4 linked regions of the Tamandua tetradactyla genome follow. The protein of the gene in region 1 binds, or shares a complex with, the protein of each later gene. Links are inferred from orthologs where the notes say so. Each region holds a gene or a part of one and is shown on either strand. Other genes may lie near its edges. The genes, in order: TMEM237, MKS1, B9D1 and B9D2.

Region 1 (7,146 bases):
ACTAGGCTTGGAGTGTTCCAGGTTTAAAAAAAAGCCAGCAAGGCTACAGCATTTACCAATGAGAGGAAGGCAAGGGCCAGATTCATCAGGGTCTTTTAAACCAAGAGGAATCCTCTGAGTTTTGTTTTAATTCAGTGGGAAACCAAAGGAAATCTATAGTGATAGAGTAATTTTTAAAAGATCACTATGAATTTAACTTGAAGTACGGATTTTAGGGCAGCAAGAACAACCACCACAAAAAAGTTAAAAACCTAAATGCTCCTTTACGTGAATAGGAAAATTTGTGTTTGCAATTCAGAAAGCATTACAGTTAAGAAGCATTCTGGAATCATTCAAAATAAAATACTAAACACTGAATGAAGCTGGATATGAAAATGATAGAGGGAGGAGGGGCATAAATGAAATCAGAAAGAAAGATAGACGATAAAGATTGAGATGGTATAATCTAGGAATGCCTAGAGTGTATAATGATAGTGACTAAATGTACAAATTTTAAAAATGTTTTTGCAAGAGGAAGAACAAAGGAATGTCATTACTGGAGGGTGCTGAAAATAGATGGTAATTAATATATTAAAATTTCAACTTATGTGTGAAACTAAAGCAAAAAATGTTTCTTTGGTACAAAATTTATATTTTGACTGGTACATTTCCTAATATAACTTATGTAGATAGCTTGGTTGAACACCATAAGTACATGGAACCTTGGGTAGGACATGAGATTTTGTTGGTTCGTCCAGAGTGATGACCAGATGAATCCCAGAGTGATTTGATCAGTGAGTGGAAAAGTATTTGCAAAGTCCCCTTCAGGGAATGGTGAGAATGGGGGAAAATTCAACCTCCCCAAGTTGAATTCTTGATATTCTCACAAGCAGTATGGACAACCAAAGCTATAGGCTGAGCCCCCAGTCTTGGGGTTTGTTCACATGAAACTTAACCCCACAAAGGATAGGTCAAGCCTACTTAAAATTATGCCTAAGAGCCACCCCCAAGAGAGCCTCTTTTGTTGCTCAGATGTGGCCTCTCTCTCCAGCCAACACAACAAGCAAACTCACCACCCTCCCCCTCTCTACGTGGGACATGACTCCCAGGGGTGTGGACCTTCCTGGCAACGTGGGACAGAGATCCTGGAATGAGCTGAGACTCAGCATCAAGGGACTGAGAAAAACCCTAGAATGAGCTGAGAATTAACATCAAGGGATTGAGAGAACCTTCTCCACCAAAAGGGGGAAGAGTGAAATGAGACTGTCAATGGCTGAGAGATTCCAGAGTTCAGAGGCTATCCTGGAGGTTATTCTTAAGCATTAAGTAGATATCACCTTGATATTCAAGATGTAATGGAGAGGCTGGAGGGAACTGCCTGAAAATGTAGAGCTGTGTTCCAGTAGCCATGTTTCTTGATGATGATTGAACAATGATATAGCTTTCACAATTTGACTGTGATTGTGAAAACCATGTGTCTGATGCTCCTTTTATCTACCTTGTCAACAGACAAGTAGAACGTATAGAATAATAAACAATGGGGGAACAAATGTTAAAATAAATTTAGTTTGAAATGCTAGTGATCAATGAAAGGGAGGGGTAAGAGGTATGGTATATATAATTTTTTTCTTTTTTCATTTTATTTCTTTCTCTGTTGTCTTTTTATTTCTTTTTCTGAATTGATGCAAATGTTCTAAGAAATGATCATGATGATGACTATGCAACTATGTGATGATATTGTGAATTACTGATTATATATGTAGAACGGAATGATATGCTTAGAATGTTTCCTTTGTCATATTTTTAAAAATTAATTTAAAAATTAAAAAAAAAATACTAACAAGATAGGCTTAGAAATCAGCTTACCACTCCAAAAATCTCATGCTGCTTTTAAAGGACATTGATGCTAAAGGATTAAATTTTATCATACAGACAGAAAGTAGATTACAGGTTACCAAGGGAGGGGGGATGGGAAATCACTGCTTAATGGATTAATGAATACCCAGTCTGCTTGAGTTAATGAAAAAGTTTTAGTAATAGATTGTGGTGATGATGGCACAGTATTGTGGATGTAACTTGAACATTAGTATCACTGAAGTGTACACAAAGTAAGTGATTAAAATGTTAACAAAAATAAAAACTGTTAAATGTTAGACACTTGTTTGTTCCATTTAGCTGTCGTCCAACAGTATACTAATTCAAACGCTATAAGGTTAGGCAAACCGTCTTAATGTACAGCAGTCAGAATTACAACTTAAAAAAAGGGTAATCAGACGGATGCGCCTTTGTTCTGAAGATGCCGTGGACCGCGTTCTATCTAAGAACCCAGTTCAAACGTTAACTCCTCCCTTCAAAAGTCCCGCAAAAATGACGTTTCACCCATCTAGAAATCCAAGTAAGTTTTTAGTAAGCCCTTAAAACACACGTCGCCTCAACTGAACACAGAATTTTCACGATTCAAATAAATAAAAGTAACTGTCTCACGACCTGCTTCCTTCCCATCCTAAACCCGAGCGCCCTGCCCTGCGCGCAGCCGCAGTTCCCTGGCTGCCCGGCACCGGCTCCGCCCGCGGCCTCCTGGGGCGGGGTGGGAGCGAGGAGGAGAGCCTGCACCTGGTCCGACCCCTCCAGTCCGCCCAGGCGGAAAAAGGGGCTCGAGGAGGAGGTTCACGTGCCGGGCCAAGCCGCTGCGACAGGCGTGAAGCAACAGTCACGGTTTTTCCCGTGGTTTCCTGAGTAGTTGCGGTCATTTCTTTGGGGCACGTGAGGGAAGATCATGATGAAAAGTCTCCGTGCGCAAACAGCCCTGTCTTTCCGGGGCAGCCGAAAGCCCTCGCGGAGGAGCGGTAAGATAGGCCTCAGCTGAAGCGCGGAAACCGCGAATAAATGCGGCGGTGTCATGACAACGCGGGCGCTCGGGCCCCTGGGAGCTTCTCGCGGGGCTCCGGGAGTGTGGTCCGGCCTCCTCCCCAATCTTATCAGCCCGGGAGGGGCAAATACGCGAACCCTGGGGGCTGGGCCCTCGCTTCCCGGCCCCCGTCCGCGGGCGTTGGCCCGCCCCCGGGCGGCTGCTGGGTTAGGGCGCCCCCCACCCCGCCGCCTCCAGCGGCCGACGCGCCCTCCCCGCTCACCGGGACGTTCTCCGCCAGCCGGGGCTCCGACTCGGGCCTCATGCTGCTCTTCCTCCGCGGGCTCTGCTGGCAAAACCGCCGTGGGGCCAAGCCCGATTCCCCGCAACTCTGCAGCCTCCGGGACCTGAGGGAGGCGGGGGCTCCGGGCGCTCCTGACTAGGCCGCCGCCCGGGAAGCAGGATTTCCTACCCGTCTCTGCTGGGCCTGGCTCTGCCTTCCGCGGTGGCGGGATTAGGGACGACACTCTCCCTTTGTCTCCCTCCCCATACCGCCCCCCCCCACACACACACACCCCGGCGCACAGTTTCAGGGCGTGTGTGTGTGTGTGTGTGTGGAGATACAGGCAATCCCCCCCCTTTGTGTGTGTGTGTGTGTGTGTGTGTGTGTGTGTAGATACAGGCAATCCCCCCCTGTGTGTGTGTGGAGATACAGGCAATCCCCCCCTGTGTGTGTGTGTGTGTGTGTGTGTGTGTGTGTGTGTGTGTGGAGATACAGGCAATCCCCCCCCCCTTTTTTTTCTCCAGCTGTTTATCTTCCACTTCAAAATTGTGTAAATCGAGTTTGGGAAACCTTTTTCTCTCTCGAAGAACCGCAACATAAAATCAAATCCGTGTCATGATTTAAAAAAAAAAAAAGTGGATCTCACACAAAAGGAGACCAGTGGTTACCTGGGGAGGGAGCTAGAGGGAAGAGTATACTGCAAAGGGGCATGGAGAAACTTGGGAGTAAGGATAGCATTCTGTATCCTGACTGGCGGTAGTTTCATATGTAGATATATCTGTCAAAATTCATCAAGTTGCACACTTTAAATGAATGCGATATATTGTACATAAATTATACTTAATAAAGTTTACATTATAAAATAAAATCCGGGCTCACATAATCATTAAAAACTAATTTTCTACAAAGTTTTGGTTGGCCGGTTGGGTTTTAAAGAAAAATAATATACTTACTCACTTTAAAGAACTACAAATATTTTGAAGCACTGAAGTTTGTTTTATGGTTAAGAAAGGGGTGGTGGGATGGTGTGACTATGGAGAAAAAGGGTAAAAGAATATAAATAGATACAGAAACAGGGAGAGTGACTGGAAGTCCCAGACCCAAAGGAAGAAAGAAAAATCAAGACACTTTAGACTTTTCATGGACTAACATCCTCATCAGGTGTTTTTCTCATATACTGTTTCTAGGACTAAGTCCAATACCTTTTCCTAATTTAAGCATAAATAAGGATATGGCTTTTACGAAGATCAATGATTGGAACAGACCTAATCAGAAGAATGACTTTTCCTTGTAGCTTGATTTATAAATGTTGTGGGCAGTGCAGTTTCTGTATGTTTTAATGTTAAATGTGTATACAACTCTTCTTTCTTGCTTAGGCAACTAGACACTTTTTGTGTAGGCACCATGTGACATTTTCTTTAAACGAATTTCATAAAGTAAAATACTGTGTCTGAAATTAAACACTATTTTATTCAAGAAAGCTCTTTTTATCTAAATCCTACAAAGACCATGTGAAATAATGAAAAGTTCTCATCCTCCATAATTTGACTTTGTTCATGTTCTCATCATTGTTGCAAATGAAGTAAAGGAAAAGCTTTTTTCATTTAAATAAGATTTGATTTAAATAAGATAAATTAATAAGCATCAGCACTTTTAAATTGCACACATTATCATGGATCAATGTTTTACATTGCAGTTGTTATTCCAGATCCCTGTAACAAAGGTACATTCTTAAAACTCCAACATTAAACTCCCGCCTCCCTAACATTCAGCATTAGAAGAAATCCATGTTGCTGGGACCCACTGAGGCTCCTCCTGAGCCTTCCTTATGGCAGACAACAACTGAGCACATGCATCTTGCAAGTTGTCATTCACAAGCACATGGTCAAAAAACTGGCCAAACTGAGACTCCATTTTTTGGGCTATATCCTCCATTTCTTGCAAGTCTTCCTCCTTCAGAAGAAATAGAAAAATACGTTTAGCACAGATTTAATGGAACAAATAGAAGTAATGCAAATTTTTATGCTGTCACATTCAGTTGAGAAGTTATTTAAAATAACAATTAGGTCAATAATTGTACTCTCTTCTAAACCACAAAATTTATGATTCTATGGTTAATCTTACTCAGTTTTTCCCTGGTCAATGTTTCACAAAATTGAGTGATGATTAATTGACAGACAACTCCCTCTCTCTCATGTAGATTTAAGTTATTTTATTATATTATCTAAACACTTGAAGCTATCAGAGCAAATACAACATAAAACCAAAGCATATTTCCCAATTAAATAAAATTTAAACATAAAATTCAAATGAATATTCATCTGTTAAGAATGACAATATTTTGCAATACAAAATGGCCACTTCCAAAGGGAAGGATGATAACTGGCAGGTATGAACCAGTTCTATTGAATTAGGCACACCTAAATTGCATTTACTTCATGATGACTTTAGCTATAACATTCTGCACTGTAGCTATTAAGAAATGTCCATTCATTAATGAAGGTCATTTAGCCTTCACTTGTTGCTAGGGCATTAAATTCATTGCTATTATTTTCTTATTTGTCCATTGCAACTAAAAGAGTACTGCTTGTTGCCAATGAAGTCATAAACCCAAATGCAAATCAGGCATTGAAATCTTGTAGCAATACTCCTTTACAAAGTGGCCATATACCTGATCAGAAACAATTGTATTAATTTGTTTGGACTACATCAAAATGAAAACACAACACTTTAAATGCTAGTAATATTCAGAGACTACATCCATGGTATCCAAGCTCCTAAATGCAACCTGGAGAATCAGACTTTCATGTAATGTAGTCATTGGAAAAAATATGAAGATAAAAATAATAAAAGATGAATAATATAAAGATGTCTCATATTACAAATGTATATTCACTGCAGCATTTTTAAACTTCCAAGTGAACTTATTTATAAAATTAATAGTCCTTTTTAAATACAATTAGGTTTCTGCACACTCAATTTCTGTGTTTAAAAAGGACTTTTGCAAACTGTGGCTTTGAGGCCTTTTTTTTTAAGCTAACTCCACAAAGGAAAGAAAAATGATAGCATTGTAGCATTGATTAAACTTAAAATATCTGTAATTGATATCCAGTTTAAAAAAGTCAAAAGAAAATTACACATTAGAAACAAAATTTGCATTCCATAACATAAGAATCCTGTGGAAATATGCAGTGATCTTTTTTACTAGAAAAAAAGAATTCATCTACTTCCTCTGTGTCTTACCTTGAACTTCACGTCCACAAAGTAGTCTGTAATGATCTTGGCATTCTTCCGAGATTGCTTCATACAACTCATGTTGGATGGCTTTATATATATAACATAAGGCTTCAGTTCATGGGTTCGAGCCACTTGAATATCCTACACAGAAAAACAGAGGTCCTAGTTTCCTAGAGTCAGCATGAATGTTCTCAAAATTCCTGAGACCGGAAATTAGCAATGATTTTTTAGCCACAGTATATTTTCAATGTGCCTCCAAGTCCTCAACTCCAAAAGACAGACAAACATTTTAATAATCAAGAGGTGAAGCTCTAGAATACATAAGGCTCAGAGAATACACAAGTGTTCCTACCTAGTTCCATTTATGAACTAGGACACCCTTATTAAAATCTGAGAGTAGGATTCTGTATGTGCTCCCATGGGACAAAGATATAACTCTTCTGGTGCACCAGCTCTTTTCACCCTCACTTCCCTTTCATCTCACTATTGTCTCTCCTTGGATACTCCTGCCATTCTACCAAACACTGATCACAAGGTTTGATCCAGGTAAGAACAAATCTCTCTTTCCTTGATTCTCTTTAGCACATAATTCCATTTCTTAATGACTGAGGAAAACCCAAGGATCATAAAAATTGGGACTACTCAATTTGAAGCCATTAAAACCAGCCTACAACCTTGCCTCTGTCTCCACCACGCCCCCAGCAGAGAGAGTCTTCCAAACTTAAAGGTGCCACATCTTTTGCTGGTAGGACCCACAGGCAGACAAGTGCCACATACTGGGCAGGATAAGAAAAACAGA
Region 2 (7,390 bases), on another chromosome or scaffold:
TTTCTGTGTGATTGATTGCCAGGAGAATATCAAGAAAGGGAGATTGTAGAAGCTGAATTTTTAAGTGCTTGTGTTTCTAAACAATTGAAATCTGTTCTTGCAGAGAGAGGGGCATATAGGAGCCAAAATCATCCGAGTCCTGCCATCTAGAACACCCCTATTGCTCCATGTCAGGACATGTCCCTGGAGACATGGGCTAACCTGTTGGGACCTGTAGGGAAGAATGGAGCTGACTAAGATAAAAGCAATTAATTATCAAAAGCTTAGTATGTTTCTTAGGAAAAGGCATTTGAGATCTGGCTGGGATTTACAAGCAAACTGCTTCAGAGGCTCAGCTTCTGGGTATTGCTGACCTATTTTGGTCTCCTACTGATTCCGGTAACGTTCGTGTGATAATAGTGGTCCCACCTGTTCTACTTGTTGACACACTGCCTGTAAGTGGGATTGGGAAATGGTGGGATGCTCAATGCTCGCTCTCTTGGTGCACTAAGTTGGCCTGAGTTTTTTCTGTCTTTACTGTAGTCCAAGGTGGGAATAGAACAGGGAGTCTATAGAATGTAAAAGAATATTGCCTGCATTCCTGGACCCTACACTCCCTCCCCTCCCCCCAAAAAGGATATTACTTGCAGATTGTGATCATAAAATCAAAGCCTTCAATGGTCCACGATGTTTCTGTATTATGGTAAAATAATTTATGAATAACATTTGTGGTAGATGCCGCTGGTGCCCTGCCCATGTCTCCTCACCCACGAATACACTTTGAGAATCCCTATTCTACACCATTTGCCAGAGTTCCCCAAAGGGATGAAGCTCTGGGTGTCTTCAGTGGAACTTGATTGATAATGCCTACTTTAGGCTTTGTTTCCTTACCTCCTTTCTTCCCCCTTCTCAAACCAGCATTTCCTGGATCACCTCCCCAGAGCGTTACTTGTAGCAGATGCTTTTGGTCTCATTCCCAGGTCCTCTTTACCAGCTGCTGAGAGTGTTAGCTGCTCCTTTACAGTCAACCCCTATCTCCAAACCAATGATCTGTTCTCCATCTCTATAGTTTGTCCTTTTCTAGAATGTCATATAAAAGAAATCATATAGTATATATAGCCTTTTGTATCTGGCTTCTTTCACTTAGCATATTGCTTTATGTGTCAGTAGTTCTTTCGTCTCTAAGGTTGAGTATATTCCATTAAATAAATATTGTACAATTTGTTTCAATATTTACAAATTATTGTAGATAAATTTATTTGATGAATAAAATAAATATTGATGAATAAAGTTTACATACAGGTCTTTGTGTGAACATATGTTGTCACTTCTTTAGAGTAAATACTTAAGAGCGGAATTGCTGGGGATCATATGGTAGGCAAATGTTTAGCTTTATAAGAAATGTCCAGTTTTCCAAAATGGTTGTACTATTTTGCATTCTGATCAACCCTGTATGAGAGTTCTAGTTGTTCCACATCCTTTTCAGCACTTTGTATTGTCCATCTTTTAAATTTTAGCCAATTTAATAGGTGCGTAATGGTATTCCATTGTGGTTTTAATTTGCACTTCCCTGATGACTGATAATGTTGAACACCTTTTCAAGGACTTATTGGCCATTTATATGTCTACTCTGATGAAGTATCTGTTAAAGTATTTTGGCCACTTAAATAATAAGATTGTTTGCCTTATTATTACTGAGTTTTAAGAGGACTTTATGTATTCTGGATATAAGTCCTTTATCAGATATGCATGTGTTTTGCGAATATTTTTCCCAGTCTGTTTCTTGTATTTTCATTGTCTTAACAGTGTCTTTCAAAGAACAGAAGTTTTTCATTTTGATGAAGATCAATTTATTAATCTTTTCTTTCATAGTTTGTCCTTTCTGAGTTCTAAGAAGTATTTACCCAGCTCAGGGTCTCAAAAAATTTCTCCTATGTTTTTGTCTAGATGTTTTACAGGTTTTTTTGCTGTTGTTGGGAGTGGGGGTGCATGGTCTGGGAATCGAACCTGGGTCTTCCTCATGGAAGGCGAGCATTCTATCACTGAACCACCTGTGCACCCTAGATGCCGTACAGTTTTAGCTCTTACTTTTACATCTCTGATCAATTTTGCTGTAATTTATTAAATTGCTCAAGGTTAGGGGCTGAGGATTTTTGCTTTTTGTGGTGTGTGTGTGTGTGTGTGTGTATGAATGTTTCCCTGATGTCTGGATGGTAAATCATCCCAGGATTATTTGTTGAAAAGACTATCCCTTCTCCATTGAAATCCTTTGGGACCTTTGTCAAAATCAATTAACCACATATATATCTATTTATTCTGGGCTTCTCTTCTGTTCCATTGGTCTTTATGTCTACCTTTATGCCAATACCACATTGTAGTGTTCACCATATAGTTATATTAAGTGTAGAAATCAGGTAGTAAATGTTCTGATGTGGCTCAGATGGGCCTGGATTAGGAAATAAAAATTTGGGAAGGAGCTGGGGATGGGAGTAGATTTAAGGAGGGAGCACTGTTCAAAGGAAAGCCCATAGGTTTGAGTCCAAGATGTAAGCTAGACTCTACGCCCCCTTGTCATGGCAACTGTGGGAAATTCAATTAATGTCTTGGTTTACAAATACATAAAAGGGAGACAAGAATATCTATAAAGTCTGTAAAGATAAAATGAAATAGTATATGTGCAAGTGTTTTCTAGACAAAGCAATTTATACAGATGCTGATGTTATTTCAGGGAGAACACAGTGGATATCAACTCTGAACCACAGAGGTGGGGTGGGGTTGAAGGCTTATGGATGATGGAACATGGAATTTTGGCCTTTATGCTGCATAGTCCAAACCTTTCATATGAAACAAGATGTTAGAATATGAATGTAGTAGGACCATTCTTGATATCAGGGTATAAATTCTTTCCAGAATCTGATAAAAATCATGAACTCTTTCCAGAAAATGTCCCTCACTAAATTCTAAGAAAGGGGTTCACAGATTCCTTGAACTCTACTTAGAGACCCTCATTTTAAGGATTCCTGATTCATATGTACCAGTGAAAAAGAAAAAAGCATGAAAAATATAGTTTACCTGTATAAGAATAATACTAATTTTAGTCCCTTATATAAAGAGCTTAAATTTCCATACCATGTAGTATATTTACTATTTTGCATACAACTATGTCAGATTGACTTTGTGTGCATTCAATTTGGTTATAACATTAAATTGTTTATTCACAACTGTGAAAGGAAAATTTAGAGTGAACGTTTCTTAAGAACTAGTATTCTGCCTCCATGTTTCATCTGTTGAAATAATTACTTACCAGACTGGAAACTGTGTTCTCTCTCTCATGGAGCAAACTGATCGGTGAGAGCCTTTGAAGTGCAGTGTAAGGTGTTCGGGTTTCAGAAAAAGATAAACTTGGCCTGGAATCCTAGCTCCTTTACCACTCACTAGTAGTACAACCTTACTAAGACCTATAATTCCCTGGACTTCATTGGCTTCATCTGTTAATTGGGAATACCTACTTGAAGAGTTTCTATGAGGATTTGGGACAATGCATACAAGGTACATAACAGGGGTTATGGTGCCCCAGAATTCCCAGAGCCATATAATCAAATGGCATGAGATATGAGTTGAGGAGACAATTGCTTACTCTGTTGGGAGAGTACCAGATGTCAAAGACTAATAAATGTTGATATCCCCAAGGTGCCAGGGAGCTAGACTCAAGGTTATGGTGTGTCCTGCCTATGCTAGTTCAATGAAGCATGTCTCCTGAATGGCACTTTGTTGGTCTTTCAGGACGCCAGTGCAGTTTCTAAGGTGGCTTAATGACCCAGAACTAACATACACAGGGGAAGAATCTGTTCACTAATAACATTTCCCCCTTCCTTACTGTTGACTTCCTTGTTTTTTCTTTCTCTCGCTTAGTGAATGCCAATGCAACGACTAATGAATGGACACCACCTTATTTTCCTCTCCAAGGATATAGTTTCGATTGTGGGTAAGTGCCAATCATCTTCCCTGACTCCTTTGGAAAGAGTGGGTGCTTTCTTTGATTCACGTTCATCAGTTTTCAGGCCAAAGTTTTAACGTTCAGTGGAAGGCGGTGTGGCAGAATGGAGATAATGGGCGTGGGCCACCTGAGTCCCTATCACCATTCTTCATCTATATGAAACGAGCTGATGGTTGGGCCGGTTTCTTTATTTGTAAATGCATCAAGTCCGGCCTTGGGTATGAGTGAGCTTTGTTCATACGCTGACCAGGTGAGACGCTGCCGTGGACCGCCTTAGGCGTTCGGCTGCGCCGGGACTGCACGGGCCGGCGGGCGGGCGGGCTGCGGGGCCGCACCGGGATTGCGCGGATTGCGCACGCAGCGCCTGGGTGTCCCCGCGAATCCAGCGTCTTCGTTACTAGGGAAACCTGGGCGGCGCGCTTTCCGGCGCTGTCGTGGCGCGGCGCTACTCTGCGGTCATGGCGGAGACCGTCTGGAGTCCTGACACTGCGGAGGCCGTGTATCGTTCCCGCGACCCCGTGCGCAACTTGCGCCTCCGGTAGTCGCACCGCCTTGGCATGGAGTCCTGTGCTCCCCTCTCCCGCCCCCCAAATAATTCGAGCCTGACTTCTTTTCTCGCTTTTCTGACTCCCCGACTTCCGTTTTCAAACCCGACCACACACACCCTCCTCGGCCTCCCAGCATCACGCTGCCTCTCAGGACGCCTCTCCGCTTAAAGACCTCCTCTTAAGTTCCTTCCCCACCCAGATTCGTCAGCACCCGCGCCCTACCGACTTCCCCTTAGTGGCCTGCACCCAGAGCACCTTAGCAGCCCTGCCCTCTGCTTTTCCCCCCACTATCCTTGCTGTGTTCAGTTCTGGTTGTGTGTCTTGTAACGCGTGTTTTGGGCCTCTCTTTTCCTGACAGCGTCCACCTGCAAAGAATCACATCAAGCACCTTTTTCCAGTACCAGCCTGCTGCCCAGCCTGGGAAGGACCTCATAGACTTGGCAACTTTTAGGCCCCACCCGAGCGCCAGTGAGTGTTTTGGTGGTGATGTGGCCTCCTGGGAATCTGGGGAAGAACCTGTTGTGGTAGAGTTACTTTTAAGATGGAGCACACTCAGGTTTATGTGTGAGTGTGAGAGAAATCACCTTTTTCAGACTAGGCAACTGCAGTACAGAGAAGTTGGGTTCCTTGCCCAGGCAGTTTTAACTACTACACTAGGTTGTGTATGAAAATTGAATAAGCCATGATTCCTGCCATTGAGACATTGATCTGAATTGTGGTCAAATGTAGTAAAATAACAAAGCCATACTTTAGAAATGTTGAAGAAATGACAACTTTAATACCATTTTTCCCCTAAGAGAAGATATGTTCCGAACTCTAAATGATGTGAATGCTTTGTTAGACCATTTTAAAGTTGAGGATTGCTTGAAGAATGCACATGTTAACATCGACAGTGCTGTTGTGCTTTTCCTTGTCTGGGAATCCAGAAGAGTTGAGGAAGAAAGCACAGTGTGCTTGTGTAAGGTTACTAGTCTCTCTGGTTTTATCATGTTTCTGTTTCTGTTAAAAAATATTCCCAGAAAACATATGGGCTGGAGGGGTGTGAAGTATGTGTTTCTGAAAAAGGCACGCTCAGCCAGGAGTGGGTTAGATTTGGGTCTTTTAAAAATTTTATGCTTCTACATAGATGGCTTCAGTGTTCCTTTTTAGTAAATATAGACAGTTGAGATTAAGGAAGGGCTGTCATCCTTTATCTAAATTTCAGCCCCTTATACTGAGTTAGATTAAATGATTCCTGGAAGGCAGGGCTACCTTTAACTCAAATTAGAACAGTATTTAAGACTTCTTCGGTTTTAATTCTGGCTTTTGCACATACTAAACAGAGCCCATGCATAACCTCTCTAGTTTCTGTCTAGAGTCAGTGCTAAAAAAACCATCGAATTCCAGCTATTTTTGAGCCAGACATAAGAGCAGGGACTTTGATTATAACCATCAGAGGAGTAAGAAGTGGTCCTGGTTTGGCTTCAGCAGTTGACTCGGTCTGTTATCTTTGAAGGTGGACACCGTCCGGATGAAGATGAAGAGGAGGAGGTGGTGATTGGTTGGCAGGAGAAACTGTTTAGCCAGGTAAGCCAGTGTGACTTGTCCACTGAATCTTCCTCCACTTGGTCCATTTCCACTTGGATGACTGCAGGGAAAAAAAACCCCAACTTTGAAAGAGAGGGCTGTTGCCATAAAGGTGCCCTAGACCCATGTCATTATTTATTTATTTATTATTTATTTATTTATTTATTTATTTATTTATTTATTTATTTTTGAACATGGGCAGGCACTGGGAAATGAACCCAGGTCTCCGGCATGGCAGGCGAGAATTCTGCCACTGACCCACCATTCTACCACCCCATGTCACTAATTTTAAACTATTTCAGTGAATATTTTTGTATTAGACCCTGTTTTACTCTGGTTATTTTCTCAAATTAGATTCTTAGAAGTAACATAACTAGATGAAAGTATTAGTTTGGAGATTCTTGATACATATCACTAAACTGATTTCCAGAAAGACTGTAACCATTTATACTTTGCCTTGTAGTACAGGGGCAATAGAACATAGTGAAAAATAGCCCTGGCTTTGAGTTCAGGTAGACTTGCGTCAAATCCTGACTGCCACTAGCCAGTTTTATGATCTTGGGTAAAGCACTTTTCACCTCTGGGCCAGGTGCACTCTATAACAGGGAAGTTGGATTAGACTGTTACTCTTATTCTTCTTACTTCTTAACATTCTTTGAATACCCTGCTCTCTGTTAGCCTGGATGAGTGAGAGTTGGTTATGAAAACATGTCAAATAGCATTTGTTCTATAGAACTGGTTTAGTTAGAAAGTGATAAGAACCACAGTTAGAAGTACTCTCAGTAAACTCTGTTTTCTTTTGGTGACCTCAGTTTGAGATAGATTTGTACCAAAATGAAGCAGCCTGCCAGAGCCCTTTGGATCACCAGTACCGTCAAGAGATACTGCAGCTGGAGAATTCAGGCGGCAGGAAAAATCGACGAATCTTTACCTATACTGATTCTGATAGATACACCAACCTAGAAGAGGTATTTTTCTTTCCAAGGTCCCATCGCATCCTTCTCTTTTGCCTCCCTTACTTACTAGCCTCAGTGAGTTCTGTGTATTAATAAGAAGCCTGTTATGGGGAAACAAGTAGCTAGCCCAGAAACTGCTGTGTGCTGCTGGCAGCCAAACTTGATTGAGTGGGCACAATCTGCAGATGGTGTGTCTTCTGCTCCCTTCTCTGCCTGCTGGTGGCCCTGGCAAAGCTGGCATGGATCAGCATCTGTAGTGATAGGCTTGCACATTGCAAATGGGGGAGAAGCAGTCACTGAACTTCTTCCATGCATCATGAGGTGAGACAGAGAAGGTAGAGTTT
Region 3 (7,362 bases), on another chromosome or scaffold:
AGCATTATTCCCAATAGGCCAGAGGTGGAAAATCCCCAGGTGTCCTTTAGCAGGTGTGTGGAGAAATGAACCCTGGTGCCTCCCCATGGTGGCTGAACATCCAGCCGGCCACAGGAATGAGGCCCTGACACACTGCAATGTGGACCAACCTCCACGACATGATGTTGTGTGAACGGGCCAGACACAGCAGGGCAGCTATTGCAGGATTCCTATAGAAATATCTAGAATAAGCACATTCATGGAGACAGAACGTAGAGGTTCCCAGGGATTGGGAGGAGGGGAATAGGGAATTATTGCCTAATGGGTGCAGGGTTTCTGTTTGGGGTGATGAAAAGTTTCGGTAATGGATGGTGGTGATGGTGGCACAACATTGTGAGTTTAATTAATGCCCCTGAATTGTGCACTTAAAAATGTCAAATTTAGGGTGGATCACGGTGGCTCAGCAGGTAAGAATGCTTGCCTGCCAAGCCCGAGGACCCGGGTTCGATTCCCCATGCCTGCCCATGAAAAAAAAAAATGTCAGATTTCATTATGTATATATATTTCATTATACATCCCAGCCCAGGCAGATGGGTGACTTTACAGTGGAGCGAGGACACCCAGGCATCACCCTACCCCGACCCCACTGATGAACACGCAGAGCCCTGGAGCAGGGCAATGACTTGCCCAGGGTCACGTGGCATGTTAGAGACAGGCTAGGGATGGGAACCTCCGCTTTGGGCTCTGCCCCTGACCCCAGCTCCCTCCTGGGGACCTGTCAGTCTGCTGTGCTGCTGGAGTCTGGGGGCCCTGAATCTTCTGCACCCTCCCGCCCCGGCCCTCAGCTGAGAGCTGAGCTCTAGGCCTGGGGGCCCCCAGAGGGTCCCCAAGAAGCCCCCATCCCCTCATGCGTGCAGAGTAACAGGCATTTGGTAAGTGACTCCAAAGTATGCACCCTCCTCCAGGCCCCCCTGAGAGCTTCAAGTCCAGTCGGGGCCACCAGAAGACAGCACTGGTGTGGCAGGCCTGGGGCCAAGGGGCTGGGGGGCAGACAGCGTGGGGGTCAAAAACAGGGGTGCTTTACCCGGATGTCCATGTTCCATGGGACGCTTTGGGTCACAAGAGGTGGAAAGGGCATCCGAGGGAATAGCAGCTGCAAAGTCGAGGGAGTGGGGCAGCTGTCATGCCCGTCGGGAGCATGCTGGGGAGGGATCGCATGGCGGGGTGCAGGGGAGGCAGGGGGCAGTGGCAGGCGGAGCCGGAGGGACCATTGTGGGAGGCCTGTCCCCCTGGCACAGACCCCAGGGCAGATCTGAAAGCGAGGGCTCTGGCAGCTTCCTCTTCCCTGGGCCAGTTCCCTCTGGCCGGGTGCATGGGCCTCACGGGAGCCGATGGGAGGAAATTTGAGAGGTTAAATGTCCTGGGCTGCCAGCGAGAAGGCCAGACGCACCTGCACCCCCTCCAGAAATGTCGCCACTTCTTCTGTTGCTGCTACTGAGTAAAGAGCAGTGGGGAGGGGTCCTGGGCAGTAGAGGGAAAGGGCCCACCCCTTGAGGACTGAGCATCCAGATTTTCTTAAAATCAGTCACCCGGTCTTGGGTTAGATTAACAGGAGCACGGGGTCCAGGGCAGAGAAGGTGACAGGAAGTTGCAGGGAAGCTGTCTAAGTTGCAGGGATAGGGAAATGGCCTTTAAAATCCTGAGGGTGGGGCAGGCCACAGTGGCTCAGCAGGCAGAGTTCTTGCCTGCCATGCTGGGGACCTGGGTTTGATTCCTGGTGCCTGCCCATGCAAAACAAAACAAAAAAAATCCTGAGGGTAGGAGCTGGTTGAAGGCTCTTGTAAAGGGGACCCAGATGCCATAGGAATGATTGAGCTCCCTGTCTTGAGAGGAAAGCAAGCAGAGTTGATAATGAACTTCGGGACGAGAGGGAGAATTCTGCTTGGTAGAGGGTGGGCCTGTGAGCTGGTTTTTCTAGGAGCCCTGAGAGCCAAGGAGGGAAACCTGGTCAGAGTTCCCAAGACCTCTGGCCACGGTGCCTAAACCCCCTCCTCCACTCTCTACCACTCACCTCCCAGGGACCCTTCTTCCAAGAAGCACTCCAGGTTGCAAGCCATAGGGATCCAGGAATTATACAGGCAGGAGTGTATGCTCTGGGGTGCAGAGGGGGAGCATGGAGGCTCCAGTCCTGCTCTGTCCCCTCCTGCTGGGTGGCCCTGAGATGGTCAGTAAGCCAACCAGAGCTCCCACCTCCTTCTCTGCCGAGCCACACCTGCTGCCTGGAGGGGAGCTGGGCCTCCAGCAGTTTGCAGGCTCCATGGAAGCCTCGGGAGAGGGAGGCTGGGGAGGCGACCTGGGCTGGGAGGCCAGACACGAGGGTTTCCTTGGTTGAAATTCCCGGAGATTTTGACTAGGAAGGAGCCACTGCCCCCAAGTGGCCCTGGCAACAGAGGAAATGTGGGAGCAGGTACAGGCAGACCCCTCCTCCCACCCCAATCCTGTACAGCATCTGCCCAAGCCAGTGCCTTTCACCCCCTGCCCCGGGGTGGCCCGTGCCCCAGACCCCCCTCCCGCCCCCCTGAACTCCTGTGAACCCCTCACTCCACCCGCACCCTCCCAATGCCACCAGACTTCGATCGAGCTCAGCATGGCCACCCTCCCACCCACTCCCACTCCACCCTGAGGTCTCCCATTTCCCCAACATCCAAGACATGGGGCCAGCCTGCCCCTGCCCCTTGGGGAACCCCGCATGCTATGTCCTGTTGAAATGGGGGGCAGCCTTTTTCACAGCCAGGCTTTAAAGAACCGGTCACCCCCTGCTTATTCTGTAACCTCAAGCATTTTGCTACCAACATACTTCTGTGCAACACTCGGCCTGAAGAGCCATAAGAAGGAAAGAAGGGGGCGGTTTGTGGAGTTTGTAGGAATAAGCATGTTTTTTTTTTTATTACTATGATTTCTTTTATTAAAGAAGCTGTAGATTTACAGAAAATGCAGAGTTCCCATATACACCCACCTTATTATTAACATCTTGCTTCAGTGTAGTAATTTGTTACAACCCATGAAGGAACACTTGACTGTTGTCCTATTAACTACAGCCCCTGGCTTGGGGTGAGGGGGTGAGAACTGTGCTGCACAGGCCTAGGTTTGCTCGTTTAAATTTGTATTCTAGTGATTTTAAATGGCGAGAAACAGCGTGAGTGAGGGGTGTGACCAAGTGCCCTGGGGGAGAGGGGGCAGCTCCTGCCTTGTTTCTCCCAGAGGGGCCCCCAACCCATCCGGCCTCCCCGCAGCCTCTCCTGTCACATGTGAGCCCACAGCTCGCCTTCCCCCAAAAGATTTCTCTGCTCACCTGGTGGGGGGGGCTGTTTGGGTGGAGCTGGGCTGTGACCCCTCCCTCCCTCCCCTCTGGGGTGGTTGACAGCCCCCCCCCCATCGGCTCTCCAGCAGGCACTGGGTGCTAAAGGGGTGATGGCCTGGGCTCCCTGCTCCCACGGCCTCCCTGAAGTCTGTGCGCCTACGCCCACCTTCCTTTCCTGGATCCGGGAGGATGCCTGGATGCCAGTCTCGACCCACTGGCCCAGCAGCAACTTCGGGGCTGTCGTCCCGCTGCTGCCCCTGAGTGTCCACGTCAGCTCCCCAAGCTCTGAGTCCCAGCTGCCTTCCCTGCTGAATGGGGGGTTCTCTCACCCATTCATCAAGGAGTCTTCCTTGAGCACTTCCGACGTCGCCCAGTGGGGCTACACACCTGTCCTGGGGCGGGCTGGTCCGGAGGGGGGCAAGCGTCAGCCCCGACGCCGACGCGACAAACGTGCAGAACAAACCTCAGTGGGCGCGGAGGGCTCGAGGGCGCAGGGGACTCGGGGGCGCGGGGACCGCGGGGGGCGCAGGGGGCGCGGAGGGCGAGTGGTGCGCGGAGGGCTCGGGGGCTTGGGGGCGCGGGGGACGCGGGGACGCGGGGGACGCGGGTCCCCTGTCAGCAGAAGCCGGGGCCTTGTCCGAACGGCCTGCGGGCATCGGACAGCGCCTCGGTTTCCTCCGAGGAGCCTGGAGGGCCCCATTTGCTGGATGGGCTCGCGAGCTATCCCCAGGGCCCTGGCAGCCCCCCACCGTCCTGCGCGGTCCCCGCCGTCCTCCCCGCGGGCCACAGCGACGCCTCGCGGCCGAGGGCGCCCTCCTCCCCTCAGCGGCCAGCTCCGGGCGTGACTGCGCGGGGCTCCGGGCTCGTTCAGTTCCCTGCCTCCAGCGCCCACGCGCGCCGGACGGTCTCGGTTCGGGCCCGGAGACTCGCGCGGAAGCCCCGCCCCCAGGGCCCTGCAAGCCCCGCCCCTCCCCTAACGCCTGGGGACGGCGCACACGCAGTTGTTTTCGCGAAGGTCGTGCTGCCGAGAAGCGTGTCCTGTGCGGCACGCCGTCGGTTTCCAAGGCAACCCCAGCGCCTCCTAGCAACAGCGCGCTTGGCCCGGGTGGGTTCCCCGCGCCCCCAACCCCGCCATGGCGGCCGCGGTGCCCAGCGTCTTCCTACTCATGGTCAACGGGCAGGTGGAGAGCGCCCAGGTGAGCGGCCGTGGGCCCCGCCGCGGGCCGGCGCCCCTCTTCCCCCGGGCTCGGTGTGGACCCTGGCGGGCCGGGTCGCTCCCCTGAGACTCCCTCGGTGGCGCGCGGACGGAGCCGGCATGGGCTAGGCGGGGCACGAGCCGGGTGGAAACTGAGGCCTTGAGAAGCTGAGTCGTACCCAGGTCACACGCCTCGGACCCGAGTCGCCGAGGACCCGGCCCGGCGGGCGCACGGGGCCTCGTCCTCGCGACCCCGAGTCCAGGGCGCCCTCTGAACCCAGGTATCCTTGAGCTTGGGCTCGTAGGGCCGGATTCAGGTCATAGGACCCAGCGATGGTGACCGGGGCCTAGAATGTACCAGGGAGGGTGTGTCAGACAGAATGCTTATCCCCCGACACTTTATAAAGACATTTATTGTTGTAAAGAAGTGAAAGCCAACGTGCACCAAGTACGTGCCGAACACTTCTCATTTAATCCGCACAACCACCCTTGGAGGTACACCCCCACTTCACAGACGGGCACACCTGCCCGGGGGACTGGCAGAGCTGGGATTTGAACCCGTCTTTCCGACTAAAACAGCTCTGCTACAACCTTTCAGGAGGTTGGAGATAGCGTTTATTATTGTATTATTGTGAGGATTAAATGATCTGGTTTAGGCAAAGCTCTGCCAGGGCCTGACACTTAGTGGGTGGCTCCTATCTTCCCCAGTTTTGTCAGGGAAGTTTCTATCTTAGGTCTGCCCTCTCCACCTCTCCCTTGGCCTAGTGCCCAGGACTTTCTCCCTGCCCCCACCTTCTCGTGTTCTATCCCATTAGGGGGCTCTCAGCTGGCCTGGGCCACATGTGTCTGAGAACTCAGACTCCTGCCCCCCTTGCCCTTTCTCTCCCTTTTCTTAGGCCCCTCCCATTCTCCAGGCCCTCTCGTGCTTCCTGTGGCCTTCCTCGTTCTTACACCTTTCGCTTTGGTACCAGTCCCTCCCACCTTTCCTGTGCCATTGCAGGGGTCAGACCTGTTCACAGTCTACTAGGATTGACAGACAGATATGTGCTATCAGTGCTGTGATGGAGGAAAGCACAGATGCTGAAGCGGCCAAATGGCGGTCCTTCAACCAGCCGGCGAGCTGGGGCAGGCCTCCCAAAGGGTGAGATTTGAAGGATAAGCAGGGATTTGCCAGGACTGGGAAAAGCATGTCACACAGGAAGCAGAGCCTGAGCAAAAGTCCAGGGGCTGCAGCAGCCTGGGATTCTCAGGGTCCCACTTCTCAGCCCCAGCTGTCGCCCAGGCCCCGCATCAGGTACCTCCTGTGCAGAACTCCTCTTGGCTGCACCTGGCTCGCTGCTGTCTGTCTGAGCCCGAACTCTCGGAGACAGAGCCTGTGTGTGCTTGTTTCCACAGTTCCCGGAGTATGACGACCTCTACTGCAAGTACTGCTTTGTGTATGGCCAGGACTGGGCCCCCACGGCGGTAAGCTGGACTCCTGGTCCTCCCTCATGGCGTCTATCACGCCCTTCCCCGCCCGGTTCAGAGCCAATGGAGAGGTGAATCCACAGTTTGGAGGGGAACCTCAACAGGAGTTTGTTCCTGGTAGGGCTGGAGTGGAGAATGCAGCCATGGTTGGGTGGACTGTCACTTCATCCTGCAGGCTGCCCTCACCCGTGTGCACGGTCATAGCAGCAAGGAGGAGCGTGTGTGCAGGCAGCAGGCCGGCCCCAGAGAGCCCACATGGGGCCAGTTGTGACACTGCGGGCCAGTCCCCCCATTGTGTGGCATCTCCTCGGCCACGGGGACAACTTCTGAGAGTAGGAAGGCAGCCAAGAGCTTTCTTTCCAAGATTTCCCAGAACAGTCTGTCTCTAGGCTGCTTGGGCAGTTGAGGAAATGAAGGGCCAACTTGTTAACCCCCGAGCCCCAGTTTCTTCATCTGTACAACTGAGGTAATAGTGCTCGTCTTCCGTCCACTTCTTCCTTGGGTGGCAATTTACTGAGAGCCTTCTGGGTGCTGGGGAGACAGTGGTGAACAAAACAGATAAGAGTCCCTGTCTTCCCAGAGTGCACATTCTTATGGCAGAGAGACAGACAATAATAGTAAACGTTCTCGCCTGTCAGCTAGCAATAGGTGCTGAGGGGAAAGATAAATTGGGAAGGGGTATGAAGGAAAAGAGGGAGGTTGGCCTCTCCATCCGGTAGTCATGGAGGGGCTCACAGATAAGGTAACTTCTGAATAAAGAAGGAAGGGAAGGAACAAGCCACGTGGAAGTGTATGGAGATAACCTTCCAGAAAGAGGGAGCAGAAAGTGCAAAGGTCCTGAGACAGGAGTGGACCTGGCATGTTGAAGGAACAGCAGGGAAGTTGTGCAGCCAGTGAGCAGAGTGAGGGAGCAGGGAACTTGAAGGCGAGGCAGAGTAGTGGTAGAGGGGCGGGTTTCATAGGGCTTTGAGGTCAAAATGCGACCCTGTTCTTTACCCGGTGACGTGAAACCCAAACCCCATCTGAGCACTGGGAACCAAGAGCAAACATGGGGTCTGACTTCTCTTTTAAAGTGATCCCTCTGGCTTCTGGGTTGAGAACAGGCTGTGTTACAGGGGAACAGGGACGACAGCAGGGAGACCAAGCTGATGGTTACAGAAACACCGATGTGGGTGGCAGTGGGAGTGGGGAGGGCGGTGGGATTTTGAATGTATTTTTAAGGCAGAACCAGCAGGTTTTCCTTTTGGCCTCGCTGTGGGGTACAAGAAAAAGGGGAGTTGAGAATGATGCCAAGGTGTTTAGCCCCAGCACCTGGCAGCAGAGAGTTGCAATTAAGTAGAAGGCTGGGGGTTAAGCCAGC
Region 4 (7,366 bases), on another chromosome or scaffold:
GGCGAGAAAGACGTCATGTGCTACTTTCTCTCCTGGCTTCCCGTTTCATGAAGCTCTCCGGGAGGCATTTTCCTTCTTCATCTCCAAAGGTCCCTGGCTTGTGGGCTCTCTGCTTCTCATGGCTATGTCGTTCTTCTCTGCTCTCTATGAATCTCCTTCTTTCTCCAAAATGTTTTTTCTTTTATAGGACTCCAGAAACTTATCAAAACCCACCCAAATGGGTGGAGGCATGTCGTCACTTAATTCAGTTTAACAACCACTCTTGACTAAATCACATCATCAAGGGAGATGATCTGATTACAGTTTCAAACGTTTAGTATCGAATAGGGATTATTCTACCTTAATGAAATGGGATTTTGATTAAAACATGGCTTTTCTGGGGGCATACATCCTTTCAAACCAGCACAGTTGGTATGCTTAATAAATAAAATTAATTAAAAAAAAAAGGGGGGCTTGACTAGTCATCAGCAAAGCACAATGCCACACCAACACACACCCATCAGAGGAAAAAGAGAGGCTCAGAGGAAAAAGAGAGAAATACCAACGGCTGGTGGAAGAGGGGAACCACGAAGGCACTGCCACTGGGAGAGCAAATTGGTTCAACCCCTTGGTAAACTGTTTGGCAGCTTCCTCTATAGCTGAACATGTCCTGTGATTCAGAAATTCCACTCCAACAGTTGTGGACCATGTCCACCAAAAGAGAAATTCCCACCAATGGTAGGATGCAGAACTAGTGGTGTCTTCACACAGTAGAAACGATACAGCAATGAAAAAGAAAGAGCTACAGCTACATGCAACAGTGTGGATGAATTTCATAAAAACACTGAGCAAAAGACTGCAGACACAAGGGAATATATACTGTGTGTGATTTCATTTATATAATGTACCAAAAAATAGGCAAAACTATTCCACATGAAAGGGACAGAGCCATCACTTAAATGCAAGCAGTTGACCTGTGGAGTCCATTTTCGTAATCACTAACCAAAACCAGTGGGGAAGAAATCAACTGAAAAAAAACACTTAAGAAAGGGCACTGACCCCAATCTTGGGGTTTGTTCATATGAAACTTAACCCCTCAAAGGATAGGCTAAGCCTACTTAAAATTAGACTTAAGGGTCACCCCCAAGTGAGCCTCTTTTGTTGCTCAGATGTGGCCTCTCTCTCCAACCAACACAGCAAGCAAACTCACCACCCTCCCCCTCTCTACATGGGACGTGACTCCCAGAGGGGTGTGGATCTTCCTGGCAACGTGGGACAGAAGTCCTAGAATGAGCTGAGACTCAGCATCAAGGGATTGAGAAAAACCCTAGAATGAGCTGAGACTTAGCATCAAGGGATTGAGAAAACTTTCTCCACCACAAGGGGAAGAGAGAAATGAGACAAAATAAAGTGTCGATGGCTGAGAGACTCCAAACAGAGTTGAGAGGTTATCCTGGAGAATTATTCTTACAGATAATATAGATATCATCTTTTTAGTTAAGGTGTAATGGAGAGGCTGGAGGGAACTGCCTGAAACTGTAGAGCTGTGTTCCAGTAGCCATGTTTCTTGAAGATGATTGTATAATGATATAGCTTTCACAGTGTGACTGTGATTGTGAAAGCCTTGTGTCTGATGTTTCTTTTATCTACCTCATGGACAGACGAGTAAAACACATGTAGTAAAAATAAATAAATAATAGGGGGAACAAATGTTGCAATAAAATTAGTAGATTGAAATGCTAGTGATCAATGAAAGGGAAGGGTAAGGGGTATGGTATGTATGAATTTTTTTCTGTTTTCTTTTTATTTCTTTTTCTGAATTGATGGAAATGTTCTAAGAAATGATCATGATGATGAATATGCAACTCTGTGATGATATTGAGAATTACTGATTATATATGTAGAATGGAATGATCCTGTGGGAAGAATGTTTGTGTTTGTATGATGGCATGTTTAATAACTAAAATAAAAAATTAAAATAAAAAAAGAAAGGGCACTGATAGGACTTAATGAACAGTTAGATAGTGGAAGTTATGAAGTGGGGGGTGACCTCCAAGCACAACCTTCAGACTCCTTCGATACCTGTGTGTATCAAGACAGGCAGGATAACAGGTAAATTAACTTAAGGTTTAAGGACAGAGATAGAAAAGAACTATGATCAATTTGGCTAAAGGCAAACGATTTTGTCATAATTTCTTCATATTAAATGGGGCCTATAATATCACCTACCGGGTGGATATCTATGAGGATTAAAGCAGATAATGCATGTAATAGGGTCAGTTCAGAGGCTGGCACAGAGGCAGAACTCATTAAATGGTAGCTTTTTTTTTTTTTTTTCCTTACATGGGCAGGCACTGAGAATCAAACCCGGGTCCTCGGGCATGGCAGGCAAGCACTCTTACCTGCTAAGCCACCGTGGCCCGTCCATGGTAGCTTTTAAATACATCTATTAATGAGATAATCCTGTTCAGTTATTTTATGTCTATATAAATGTTATATTGAAATGTTGCCCCATCATTTCGTGTTGGTGAGTCTAACTTTTGAAGTTCCTGTTTTGCTAAAAATACGGAATCAGTTCTCACTGGAGTCCTGGATCGGGTGGACATAGAAACTGGGGATGGGAAAGGCACTGCGCAGGAATTCAGGTGAACACGGTTGACTCTAGCCCACCCTCCCTGCACCCTTTGCATTGATGAGATAATTGAGACTAGACCCGGGTGGGGTCACAGGAGACCTTATTGGCGGAGTCCAATCTTTAAAAACGAGATTTTTGCAGATAAACAGTGGCTCTGTTTCTCATTTCTCATTTATTCACCCTGGTCTTGTTCGATACCAGCAATATGGGGGAAGAGGGACTATTTCTGAAAAGGAAGTTGAACTTATCCGTCCTTAAGCGGCAGGGGGTAACCTCTAAAAATGGAAGGAAATCCTCCTCCCCAACTTCTGGAGTTTCTCCGAATGGGGAAGGACTTCTTTCCAGTTATGAGGCAGAGGGATGCACACAATGACCTGGAGGGCATGTCCCCCTTGACCTTATCTCAAGTCTCTGGTCTGTGGTCCTGGACGGAAGAGAGTGTTTCTTTGGGGGGTGGGGGGTGGGGGCACTGAACATGGACTGATGCACTTATTTTGTTAAGAGAGTATCTGGGTGCAAATATCCCAAGAAATGATCATGATGATGAATATGCAACTATGTGATGATATTGTGAATTACTGATTATATATGTAGAATGGAATGATCAAAATAGAATACTTGCGCTTGTTTGGTGTTCTTTGGTATTTAAAAAGATAAAATTAAAAAATTTAAAAAAAAAAAGAGAGTATCCGGGCCCTCTTACAGGCAATCCCAACCTCCCAGGAGGCAACCAGTGCAGTTATTTTATCACTGTAAAGAAGGTTTGTCAGTTCTGGAACTTCCTGTAAGTGGAATCATACGGTAAATATTCTTTTACGTTGGACATTTTCTACCATGTATAAAATTTCTGAGGTTCACACATGTTTTGTATATGTCGGTAGTTTTTCTTTTCATTGCTGAGTAGTATTTCATTGTAAGAGTATAACAATTCTTTTAAAATCTATTCTTTTATGGAATTTTGAGTTATTTCTAGTTTGGGGGCCATTTACAAAGCTGGAGTAAACATTTTTGTACAAATCTATTGTGAGCACGTGCTTTCATTTCTCTTGACTAAATAGCTCTAGAATGGAATTATTGGTGATAAGTTGGGCATATATTTATATTTATAAGAAACGACCAGTTTTCCAAATGGTTGAACACTTTTTACTCTCTAATCAGCTAAGAGAGAGAGAGAATATCTGGATAAAACAATTGGAGCGCAAACTTCCTCAGCCACACTCAAGATGGCAGCCGTCCATTCGAGCCCAAGTGTCTGAGAGGAAGGAGAGACGCAGTTTTCCCCAACCGGAACGAGACGGGAGGAGAAAACAGTCAATCACATCCTTACCCCGCCCCCTAAGGACGCCAGCACCAATTAGCGACGCGCAGGGCGGATCTAAGCCTGGGAGGAGCAGGCTGCTGTTGCCCAGCAACAACCAGGGAACCCGGAGGCTGGCGCCGCCGCGGAAAGGCCGCCGCCTCAGCTCTCTCGCTGCCGGAAGGAGCCTGGAGAGGCGGAAGACAGGCCTGAGAAATCAGCGCCCGCTAAGAGAGGGACAGGTTAGCGCCATGGACTGCAATACCCGCTGACACTTTCGCACCCCCTAAACGTTATGTGCGCCGAGTTCGGAACGACGCATGCGCTGCTCTGAGAGGTGGGGCTAAGGCGGTCCTGCGCCCAGAAATGCAGAAACGACGCATGCGCCTCCTGGAGCGCGGGGCCGATCCATGCAAGGGGCGGGGCTTTGCCCCATGTGGGCGGGGTCTTACGCTCCTGGGGCGGGGCTTTCCGCTGTACTGAGCCGGAGGAAAGTATTTTGGGGTGGGACAGTTAAAATGCCAGCTTCTCCGCCCAGCCTGCCTATCTTTCGGTGACTCTTCTGGGGTGACAGTAAGGGTGTGGTTAAATACACAAGCCCGCAGGGGGTTGACGAATCTGGCCTGGAACCTTGGTACTGCCACGTACTTGTCGGACCCCAGTTTCCTCAACTATCATGTGGAGATAATGCACTACCTCACTGTGCTTCTAATTCTCTCCTCTCAGGGCCATGGCCGAGGTGCACGTGATCGGGCAGATCAAGGGGGCCACTGGCTTCTCGGAAAGTAGCCTCTTCTGCAAGTGGGGCGTCCATACAGGTATTCTGGTCCCGGTTCATTTCTTCACCCAGACCCCCAGCCCAGAGGCTCGGCTTTCCTTCCTGATCCTCATCTTCCATCTGCCCTCCGAGTCTGCGCCCAAAGCCCAGTCACCATCCTCATGAGTCTCAGGCTGTCTCAGTAGCTGAGGGCTCTGGCTCTTACCCTCGGAACACACAACCTCTTAAGCATATGGCACTGTAGGCTGTACCCCTCCACTTCCAATCCTCAAAACACTACGCAGCCCGAACTCTGTTTGGACTTCACTCCCTGGCTTAGGGGTGCCCTTAGACTCTCCCTCATCTTAATAATTCTTTGATTAACAAATTGCTGCTATCTTTACAGTTCTTAGTGTAAAGTAGATGTTTCTACCCCATATTTACAGAGGAGAGCTGACCCCCTGGTGTTTATAATTCTCCGTGAAGGTAGCCCACCATTCTGGCAGTCATTCAAGTCTGTCCACAGAGGCAGGCCCAGCAAGGCTCCCAACCCCCCAATTTTCCCACCTTCCCATCGGAGGCAGTATGTGTAGGGGTTAGGGCCACCAGCTCTGGGTTCAAGTACTAATTCCCCCATCAATTAATTGGGGACCATTGGGCTTTCCCTTTCCCAGCCTCAGTTTCTTAAGATAAAAAGCAGCTAAGAGGAGTCACCATGTTGAGGTCAAGAGCATAGACTGCGTTGGTTCAAAAACAGTTGCTACTTCTTAATTATGTGACCTTGCCTCAGTTTCCTTACCTGTACGACAGGAATGATAACAACCTATACATCATGGAGCTGTTGTGAGGACTAAATGAATAGCAATAGCACTTAGCACGTGGTCTGGCAAGCAGGGTTTGCCTGGCTCATATTAGAATTTGAACGGGTCTTGTTTGTAAGGCACCAGGTAAATGACCATGCAATGAGTGTGGCTGTGGCTGTCACTTTCCCTGCAGGCCCCAGGTCCTCTGTGACCTCACTGGTGGGTGGTGTGGTATTGAGATTCCCTGGAAGTTCAGAGTAGATAAGAGGCAGCCTGTAGAGACAGCCCTAGTTTCCAGTCTGGGCCCCACCATTCATCTGCTTTCTGACCCTGGGCAGGTGCTGTCCCCTCTCAGAGCCTCAGTTTCCTCATCTGTAAAGTGGGAGTGGCATTCACCCTCCATAGGTTACTGGGAGAGCTGGTATGTGAAAAGCCTGACTCAGGGCCTGATGCTTTGCTCAGCCAGCCTTGAAGGGAGCAACGACTAACATAATTTGCTAATCTGGGGAGTTGTTGGGGATTGGGGCGGGGGATGGGGGTTAGTCCTGAGGAGAACTCAGGGGCAGTCAGATCAAAGGCTTGGGCTCCATGGTCAGACAGAGCTGAGTTTACTGTGGGACCTTGGTCTGCTGTGGTCACCACTATGCCCCAAGCAGCACCTGGCACACAGCAGGTGTGTAATACATGTTACTGGAATGAATGGTCAAGTGACTTTCCTTCTCAGAGCCTGTTTCTTTACCTATAAAAGAGTATTATATTAGCACTCACCTCATAGGATTTTTCATTTACCCAACAAACTTTTATTGAGAGCCTTCTGTGTGTTGGGTTTGAGATCCTGGGAATAGGCCAGTGAACAAAGTCCCTGCTTTTCCAGTGTTCACAGTAGGGGAGACTGAAAATAAAACTAGCAGATAAAGAAATGAGTGCAATGATTGCAATAGTGGTCAATGCTAGGAAGACAAGAAATGGGATGAAAATGTTAAAATAAATTTAGTTTGAAATGCTAGTGATCAGTGAAAGGGAGGAGAAGGGGTATGGTGTGTATTGTTTTTGTTTTTTTTTTCTGTTTTCGTTTTATTTTTATGTTGTCTTTTTATTTCTTTTTCTGAATTAATGCAAATGTTCTAAGAAATGATCATGATGATGAATAGGCAACTATGTGATGATACTGTGAATTACTGATTATATATGTAGAATGGAATGATCACATATTAAAAAAAAAGTGGGATGATGTGGAAGAGACAAGTTTTTGGATAGCAGGGCTATGGAGAGCCCCTCTGGAAATGGCACTTGAGCTGAGGCCTGAAGGATGAAAAAGAGGTAGCCATAGGGAGAGCCAGGAGTGGCAATTTCTGGGCAGTAAGTGCAAAGGCCCTGAGGTGGGAATGAGCACGGCACACTGGGGAACAGAAATAGGACCAGTGAGGCTGTAAGTTGGGGAGGGGGAAAAGCGATGGGAGCTGAGGATGGGGGTGGGGGAGGGCTTTGAGAGCTGGGGGATGGGGTGGAATGGGTGGGGATTAAGAATCCTAGAGGGTGGCTTAAATGAAGTCATTACCTAAAGTGCTTCATACAGTATCTGGCATGTAGTGAGCACCCAGTATGCTTTTGCTATTGTTATCACCCCTCAACAGAATTGCTATTCTTCCACTGTGCCCCCATAGATGATACCCTCAGCCCCATCTTAGTCTTTGCACTAGGATTTTTAATGTGGGGGTGGGAATAGTGATAAAATATCAAACCCTTACCCAGCACTCACTATTTCCCAGGTGCCGTTCTAGGGGCTTTTTCTGTATTAACTCTGATTCTCTCAAAGAACGATGAGGAAAGTATTATTCTTACACCCATTTTACAGATGAGAGACTGAGGCAGAGAAAGTTATCTCACCCAAGGTT

Evidence for each region.
Region 2: TMEM237 (region 1) and MKS1 share a complex: the UniProt entries of both Homo sapiens proteins name them as parts of the tectonic-like complex. The link is inferred for Tamandua tetradactyla from reciprocal best matches to the Homo sapiens genes TMEM237 and MKS1.
Region 3: TMEM237 (region 1) and B9D1 share a complex: the UniProt entries of both Homo sapiens proteins name them as parts of the tectonic-like complex. The link is inferred for Tamandua tetradactyla from reciprocal best matches to the Homo sapiens genes TMEM237 and B9D1.
Region 4: TMEM237 (region 1) and B9D2 share a complex: the UniProt entries of both Homo sapiens proteins name them as parts of the tectonic-like complex. The link is inferred for Tamandua tetradactyla from reciprocal best matches to the Homo sapiens genes TMEM237 and B9D2.

What each region holds. Positions count from the first base shown.
Region 1 is NC_135329.1:176,262,952-176,270,097, forward strand, and holds the start of TMEM237 (transmembrane protein 237), read right to left. Parts: upstream 3,018-7,146; 5' UTR 2,730-3,017; coding exon 2,467-2,729; intron 1-2,466. Other genes in the region: MPP4 (MAGUK p55 subfamily member 4), read right to left, coding at 4,872-5,063, 6,354-6,488. UniProt on the Homo sapiens protein: Component of the transition zone in primary cilia. Required for ciliogenesis.
Region 2 is NC_135332.1:39,209,183-39,216,572, reverse strand, and holds the start of MKS1 (tectonic-like complex member MKS1), read left to right. Parts: upstream 1-4,390; 5' UTR 4,391-4,434; coding exon 4,435-4,514; intron 4,515-4,882; coding exon 4,883-4,992; intron 4,993-6,019; coding exon 6,020-6,090; intron 6,091-6,902; coding exon 6,903-7,058; intron 7,059-7,390. UniProt on the Homo sapiens protein: Component of the tectonic-like complex, a complex localized at the transition zone of primary cilia and acting as a barrier that prevents diffusion of transmembrane proteins between the cilia and plasma membranes.
Region 3 is NC_135332.1:2,671,354-2,678,715, forward strand, and holds the start of B9D1 (B9 domain-containing protein 1), read left to right. Parts: upstream 1-4,347; 5' UTR 4,348-4,473; coding exon 4,474-4,536; intron 4,537-5,535; exon of another isoform or gene 5,536-5,628; coding exon of another isoform or gene 5,629-5,676; intron 5,677-5,930; coding exon 5,931-5,999; intron 6,000-7,362. UniProt on the Homo sapiens protein: Component of the tectonic-like complex, a complex localized at the transition zone of primary cilia and acting as a barrier that prevents diffusion of transmembrane proteins between the cilia and plasma membranes.
Region 4 is NC_135342.1:22,441,378-22,448,743, forward strand, and holds the start of B9D2 (B9 domain-containing protein 2), read left to right. Parts: upstream 1-4,366; 5' UTR 4,367-4,429; coding exon 4,430-4,464; exon of another isoform or gene 4,465-4,545; intron 4,546-4,637; coding exon 4,638-4,729; intron 4,730-5,467; exon of another isoform or gene 5,468-5,653; intron 5,654-7,366. UniProt on the Homo sapiens protein: Component of the tectonic-like complex, a complex localized at the transition zone of primary cilia and acting as a barrier that prevents diffusion of transmembrane proteins between the cilia and plasma membranes.